Linked DNA regions of Nothobranchius furzeri. The protein of the gene in region 2 purifies or fractionates together with the protein of the main gene of each other region. This does not show direct contact. Links are inferred from orthologs where the notes say so. Each region holds a gene or a part of one and is shown on either strand. Other genes may lie near its edges.

Region 1 (4,136 bases), on a different chromosome or scaffold from region 2:
AGCATGTTTAATGTGCATGACGCTCGGATGCACAGGTTCTGAATAAAGAGCCTGTGTCTCACTTTAACCAGAACTATTATAATCTCTGTAGTATTAGCTCAGCACTCCATTAGAAAGCCCAGAGGGAGCTTCCCTGAATGGTTGTCAAAGGGAAACATTATTAATTCATAGGCTGGAAAAGAAAAGGCAGAAGAGAGAACTCACCAGTGAAAGCTCTACAGCTAATTTCAATTTTAAATTCACAAAAGCAACAGATAAAAACGGTTGTTCTGTGTTAGTCTGTTTGAATTTGACACAACTGAATGACATTGGTTAAAAAAACTACTGATATTTAAATTGCTATAATAAATATTCATGCTTATAATATAATTTAACAAAGGGAAGAGGAGTGGTCGTTTCCATTACCTGTCGATAATGTTTGTCATAGATGGGATTTCCACTGGAAAGCTGAAAACAAATAAAAGCATGTTTGTAAATTTTGCAAACCTCATTTGATGCGTTTCATAGAGTCCAAAACAAAATTTTAAAGTGTCAGTTACAAAAACCTAAAATGTCTGTATTTCTCTAAGAAATCTTTTTAGTTTACAAATTTGAATAAAATATAATCTGGCAGCTAGAGAAAATCAGTCAGAAGATCAAAAACTGAAAACGTTAACCACAGAGTTTAAAAAGCCACAGAGCCACTAGAGTACATGCACCAGTAGATTTAACCTTTAAATTTAAAATATTATAAAGCCTAAAATATGCCACAAAATGTTAGCTTATCCCAGAACTGATCATAATTAATCAGTAAAACCAAAGACACGTTGAAGTAATGCCACTTTTGTGAAGAACAAGTGATGCCACTACTGGGATTCTTGATTGTTGAATAATTAGATTTTCACTGTTACAGGTTCTAAGAGGTGAGTCTTTATTCATGCAAAAATTAAATGACAAACATATCTTTGTGTTTTTTATACAAAGCAAAGTTAATCATTATTTTCTGGTGATGAAACTGCAAAGCAAGGCTAACTGATACTAAAGCTCTGAGCTGAATTACCATGACGATACCTTCTGGAAGCCTGTGATTTGTGTTCAAACTAAGCCACAAGATGTTAACACTCGAGAGTAATTTGCTTTTCTGATGTAATATCCCTTCTTTCCTCTTCTCATCTGAGCTAAACAGGAAACAAATCAGCATTTCCCTGTTTTTAAACTAAAAATGCTAAATGGTAGCTTCCATGAAATAGAGAAAAGGAGTGGACAGCAATTATCTGGTAAGTGGATGTGCTGAGGAGCAGTCTTAAAAGCTTTCCTTCCATCTCCAAACCAATATGAAGATGAAGAAGAAAACAGCAACATCAGCTTAGGAGTAAATTATGTAACCAACTCTGGCACATAAGAAAAAAAACATAGCCTGTCATCAGCAGTTGTCTGTCAGCTACTTTGGACAACTAAATGCCAATTTTAAAGTGAGATAACTGTTGACGCGCGCGCGCACACACACACACACACACACACACACACAGAAATTGTAACACAGTAGTGTGCCTGGAACTATCGATGGCTGTGACACTGTCATCATTGTACTGCACTCTTTAAAAAGCCATAAAGTGAAAAAAAACTATAACCATTATTGCATAGTTCATTCAAAACTTTGGCATTCAACAAGATGCATCATGTTGCATTTGTTAACAGGACAGGCTGGTTTCTCTTTGACATTTCAACATGTTTGATTGTCACAGCAATAAAATGGTAAACAGTGTCAGCAGAAACATGGAGGTCAGATTAGATACTAATCAGACAAGAAGCAGCAGCAATGAAGAGAAAACACAGAGACAACGCTGCTCCTGCTCTGTTGACAGAGGCAACAGAGGCTCGGGTGACCATACCAATTAAACTTGCCCGCTACCTGCTAAATAACTTACAATTCACCAACTTTGGGTTCTTCACCCAACTAGCAACAGGCTTTTACTTCTGACAGCAGAACGAGCTAGTGGCTGCCATAGTTAACTTCCTCTTACTGGTTTCAGAACGACAGTTTACATTATTTAAAGCTGCACTACTAAAAATTAACTCAACGTTTACATTAAATAATTGAACATAATAAAGTCTGTCCACTTCAAAAATGTCAAAGGAATAAAAACACATCAACCGAAGCACGTTTCATTCTATTTATAGCCATATCAAGTGTAACCATGCAGACAGCCATGGGAGTAGCAACGTAGCTTATAAAGCACACGAAAGCAGAAGATGCAACACAACATAACTAAAACTTGGAGCGAACGTTAACCAACTAAAATATGACAGCAGAGCCACAACAGAGAGCCACACATGGTTATCATCTTCTTAGCAAAGACCGGCTGGCCTGCGGCTAACAGAGGGTGCGCAATGTTGTTTTAAAGACTGCTAACCAAAGCCAAGTCACGTTAGCTAAACGTCAAGTTTGACAAAGAAGCCCCACTAACAGCCCCACACTGGACATAAACTAGCTGTTAGCAGGCAGGCTAGCTGGCTAGCTACGCCCTTACGCAGTCCCCAAAGAGATTAGACAGAAACTTTTCGCAGCAGGGCTAAAACTTCCCCAACACCGACGACGGTCGAGGAGAGCACTCGTTTCCGCCCGCCCAGTCCGGCCAGCACCACTGAGTTGGGCGCAAGTAACGCGGACAGAAGCCCGCGGCGTTCGTTGTCGTTATATTTGAGTTGTAAGACACTGTTACCTGAGTAAGAGACAAAGTGGCAGCCATAGTGTTTCTGTTTCCCACTGCTTTCAGGCTGCGCTGCTGCCAGACACAGACAGAGGCCGCTGAAAAACCTGGAACCGGACCCGAAATACAGAGTCGTCCAATCACACCCACTAACAGCAGGCCAGTCATTTAACCCTGGGCACGCCCATCGACATAATATACGGGCACACCCAAAAGGAGGCCCGGGGGCCCTTAGTGGCCCTCGGAGTGATTTTGTTTGGCCCATAGACTGTTTGGCCTCATTATTGAATTTCTAGAATGGTGGGATTTTGTCTCTCCTGCAGTCTGGTGATGTAGATAGAAACTTTGAGATTTTCATGATCAAACATTTTTATTAATGTGTATATTTTTGGTGTTTTGAACCATATAAAAACATAAAATAACTGCAGCATTATTAAAAAAAATTCAGTTGATTATTTTGCTCTTGAAAGGGTTGGACATTCCAATTTAAAGAGCAAGTCACTCCTACCAGACTCTTAAGCCTGGGGCACACTGAAGGCAGACGCACCGCACCCGCGCCGTCGTTTTAAATAAAAGCCATTATAGTTAATGAGAGTGGGTACACAGGGAACGCCGCGCGGCGTCCCAGAAGCGCTGTGCTGCACCTAGGCACTGAAGACAGGTGCCAGTTTTATCTCAAGTGCCGCGGCGCAGCTGTTTACAACATTGTGGAGTACTTTACAACAGACATTACGACGTGGAATGGCTTTACGGCACAAACCCAACCACAGTTTTGATAACTTCAAATTTAAATAAATAGCATACTTACCCATTTTTAATTAATTTGAGTCTCACAAAACATGACAGCAAGTCTGATCATGTATAAACAATAGAGTCACTTCCTTATTTCTGTTCTCAAGTCCAACGTGATGTTGTGACTATTACGCGACTTTCCAAGAAGCGTTCAGCAGCTCCGCCTGTGTGACCACTTGACTTCTCAAAATCTCGAGAGTGACGCAGCGCGTCTCCCTCCGGCAACAAATACTGCTGCCTGGCAGACCAGCTCAGTGACCTAGTGGTAGAGTGACCGCCCTGAGACTGGGAGATCAGGGTTCAATTCCTGGTCGGGTCATACCAAAGACTTTGAAAAAATGGGACCCAATGCCTCCCTGCTTGACACTCAGCATTAAGGGGTTGGACTGGGGGGTTAAGCCACCAAATGGTTCCTGAGCACAGCTGTGTCTGCAGCTCACCGCTCCCCCAGGGTCAATTGCGGAGAACAAATTTCGCACACCTCCTCCTTGAACCGTCACCTTATTGTGGTGGAGGAGTTTGAGTGCCCTAATGATCCTAGGAGCTATGTTGTCTGGGGCACTTAGTGCCCCTGGTAGGGTCTCCCATGACAAATTGGTCTTAGGTGAAGGGTGAGACAAAGAACGGTTCGAAGGATCTTTCATGGCGGTGAAA
Region 2 (3,649 bases):
TGGTTTCCAGCTAATTATGCAGAGCGTATACCCGACAGCGAAGCCCCAATCAGCCTCCGCTCCACTTCCTCAACCACACCCACTTCAGCCCCGCAGCCCATGACCACGCCCCCTCCGGCTCCTGGACACACCTCCTCATCCACATCATCTGGCAACAGTAACTGGGCAGACTTCAGCACCACGTAATTCCCCCACACGACAACATGATCTGACTTAAAAACTTTTTGGATGAGAATGAAGATTTTTCTGTGTAAATGTTTCCAGATGGCCCTCAAACACAACAAGCCAATCAGACAGTGAAGGGTGGGACGCTTGGCCAACTTCTTCAGCCAATCAGAATCCATCTCTCAGTGTTCCATCTGCACAGCTACGACAACGCTCCGCCTTCACACCTGCAACTATGACAACAGGCTCCTCCCCCTCTCCTGTACTAGGACAGGTAGTGGAAACATTGTCTCAGATATTGATAAAGTCATTGATCACACGAGTCACAGATGACCATGAGCTGCGATATCTGTCTGTCAGGGAGAGAAGGTGGAAGGGCTCCAGGCTCAGGCTTTGTACCCCTGGAGAGCAAAGAAGGACAACCACCTTAACTTCAACAAAAACGAGGTAGAACCCTCATCACTGCCACACGATAACAGGAAACTGTACATTTGCCTGATGGCGTGGATGTTAATGTTGATGCAGATAATAACAGTGTTGGAGCAGCAGGACATGTGGTGGTTGGGAGAACTTCAGAATGGACAACGAGGCTGGTTCCCCAAAAGTTACGTCAAACTCATCTCGGCCAACGTGACCGTTCCCCCCAGCACTGTAGCTCGAAATAAAAACACAAGGTAGGGTCGAAACCTCCGCTCTCGCCATATTTATCCCATGAAAGTCACAAAAGTTTGAATTTACGTATGTCTCACATCTCTTAGTGAATCTGGAATGTCAGAAAGCCCACCCAATGGAAAACGCCCCTCATCTTCTCCGACAAAATCCTCCGACACCGGAGAAGGTACCTCATGGAAACATTTCAGTACATCACAAATATAACGCATCTATTATTTACACTTTACTTTTCTTTTCCTACAGAATATGTGGCCATGTACACCTATGAGAGCACAGAACAGGGAGACCTGAGCTTCCAGCAAGGAGACATCGTCATGGTGACCAGGAAGGAAGGAGACTGGTGGACAGGCACGGTCGGAGGAAAGACTGGAGTCTTTCCGTCCAACTATGTTAAGCCACGCGATTCATCAATAGAAGTGAGAGCTCACTTTGATTAGTTAGTTTCCAGATCATTTGAAAGAAATGTTTGTAATCTCTCTACATCCTTATCTGAAGTCACTGGGACCCGCAGGGAAGACCGGCAGTCTGGGGAAGAAACCAGGTCAGTGCTTACAGCCTGAAGAGTTCCTTTTACTTTTCTCTAATGATGTAAATTCATTTTCTCTGAATCTACCTTGCATTCTGTTGGAAATAACTTTTGTAGTTAAAGCTCCAAAGCAGGAAAACAAACCCGCTTCTCTTTTTCAGAGATCGCTCAGGTGATTGCAGCCTACACGGCAACAGGAGCAGAGCAGCTGACGCTAGCTCCAGGACAGCTCATCCTCATCAGGAAAAAGAACCCCGGGGGCTGGTGGGAGGGCGAGCTCCAGGTACTCAAGTCATGTTCACATGCGTCAAGTCTGACTTGGTTATTTACCTCCCTATAAGAAACTGGGTTTGAATGGAACAGGTTTTTGTTGTTTTTATGAGGTTTGTGGATTAGTGTCTGATATGTGGTCACTTCACTGATCCAGGCTCGAGGGAAAAAGCGCCAGATTGGTTGGTTTCCAGCCAATTATGTGAAGCTTCTGAGTCCAAGCACCAGCAAAACCACACCAACAGAACCAACTCCTCCCAAACTGGCTCCTGCCAGCACAGGTACACACTACTCCAGAACACATGTTTGTGTGCCGTTTTAGATTTGGGGCTATGGTTCAGGAAAAAGATGGAATAGGTCCCCTGGAGCGGGGTGGAGTCTTTTCCTCAAGCAGAGTCTTGACGTGTAGTTCATGAGTGTTGGTAGGAGGAAGCAAGATACAGACTTCTGCTGTAAGGTGGTAAGGAAGAGAGAGTTATACATTTTGGAGCTCCTTAACCATAACAACCCAAACCTGGGAGACCTGGGATGGATCCGTCTGTGAGGCAGATGTTGCTAAAGTGGTCAAACGTCATCTCTGGATGAGCTCTATTCCAGGTATCTGTCGGCTGTGGGACTGTCCTGGCTGGCACGTCTCTGAAACTGCCACAGAGGTCATAACAGTTATAACTGTGTGTATATAAATGGCCTGTATTTGTATAGCACCTTCTTAGGGTTGTACGACCCCCCAAGGCACTTTACAACACAATCAGTCACACACTGATGATTATGAGCTACGCTTAGCCACGGCTGTCCTGGAGCGCGCTGACAGAGGCGAGGCCTGCTGAACACTGGTGCCACCGACCCCTTTGACCACCACCAGCAGGCAAGGTGGTTAAGTGTCTCGCCCAAGGACATGATGGAGCCTGGCCAGAGCAGGGATTGAACCTGCAACCTCCCGATTACTGGACAACCCGCTCTACCTCCTGAGCTACTGCTGTCCCAACATAACAGCTTTGTCCAGTTAATTGCTTTTCGTGCCCTTCACCTGTAATTTAGTAGCAGTTGAGCATGACAGCAAATGAAATGTCATGAGCATTCACAGTCAGATCAACAACAGGCACTCCCTCTCACTCACGGTTCAGCCAGACCTCACCTACATGCCGTTTACGGTTAACTGACTATTAACCATTAAGAGCATCAATAGTCAGTTAGACATTCTGGAAACGTGCATGTCTATATATATAAATCTGGTGTGTGTGTGTGTGTGTGTGTGTGTGTGTGTGTGTGTGTGTATATATATATATACCAGATTTAATTTTCTGTCTCCCAAAGAAGGTAAAGGGAGTTTGTGATAGACAAGAAGCACAGCTTAAAGATTCATTAGCTGTACTGTTCATTATTCATAAAACTTTGTCAAAGCAGCTTTCTACAAAGCCACAACCAAGAGCTCTGATTTCTGAGCCTGCCCCCAGTGGCAGCAGCAAGAGCCAGTCACAGTTACAGCTTTACATTAAGGACCAAGAAAGAATCCTTTCGGTTTGCAGCTAGCATGTTGTCCCCTTGCATGTGGGTTTTCTTCGGTACTCCGGTGTATTCTCACAGGAGAACTATGAATTTAGGTCATTTGGATCAAAGCTTCTGCTGCATGAATAAATGTAAACAATCCAGCTTTAATCATCCCTGTTTCCTGTCCTGAAGGTCTGTGTCAGGTGATCGGCATGTACGACTACGTGGCCCAGAACGACGACGAGCTGGCCTTCCAGAAGGGTCAGGTGATCACAGTGCTCAACAAGGATGACTGTGATTGGTGGAAAGGAGAGCTGAATGGGAGAGAGGGCCTGTTTCCTAGCAACTACGTCAAGCTGACCACAGACACTGATCCGAGCACACAGTGTGAGTACAAGCACACACAGCCTTCCCTGCAGAGTGCGTCTCACACTGACACACACACAGAGCGTCCTAAAATTAACATACAATGTACACACTGAAATACACACACACACACACACACACACACACACACACACCCCAGAG

The links. The genes of interacting proteins can lie anywhere in the genome.
Region 1: the proteins of itsn1 (region 2) and eps15 purify together in Homo sapiens (co-immunoprecipitation; 3 studies listed by BioGRID and IntAct, with this or other methods). This does not show direct contact. The link is inferred for Nothobranchius furzeri from reciprocal best matches to the Homo sapiens genes ITSN1 and EPS15.

What each region holds. Positions count from the first base shown.
Region 1 is NC_091748.1:56,887,706-56,891,841, forward strand, and holds the start of eps15 (epidermal growth factor receptor substrate 15), read right to left. Parts: upstream 2,874-4,136; 5' UTR 2,859-2,873; coding exon 2,703-2,858; intron 448-2,702; coding exon 406-447; intron 1-405. UniProt on the Homo sapiens protein: Involved in cell growth regulation. May be involved in the regulation of mitogenic signals and control of cell proliferation. Involved in the internalization of ligand-inducible receptors of the receptor tyrosine kinase (RTK) type, in particular EGFR.
Region 2 is NC_091752.1:40,932,747-40,936,395, reverse strand, and holds part of itsn1 (intersectin-1), read left to right. Parts: coding exon 1-182; intron 183-264; coding exon 265-439; intron 440-525; coding exon 526-612; intron 613-690; coding exon 691-839; intron 840-923; coding exon 924-1,003; intron 1,004-1,080; coding exon 1,081-1,253; intron 1,254-1,332; coding exon 1,333-1,378; intron 1,379-1,524; coding exon 1,525-1,646; intron 1,647-1,790; coding exon 1,791-1,914; intron 1,915-3,313; coding exon 3,314-3,508; intron 3,509-3,649. UniProt on the Homo sapiens protein: Adapter protein that provides a link between the endocytic membrane traffic and the actin assembly machinery. Acts as a guanine nucleotide exchange factor (GEF) for CDC42, and thereby stimulates actin nucleation mediated by WASL and the ARP2/3 complex.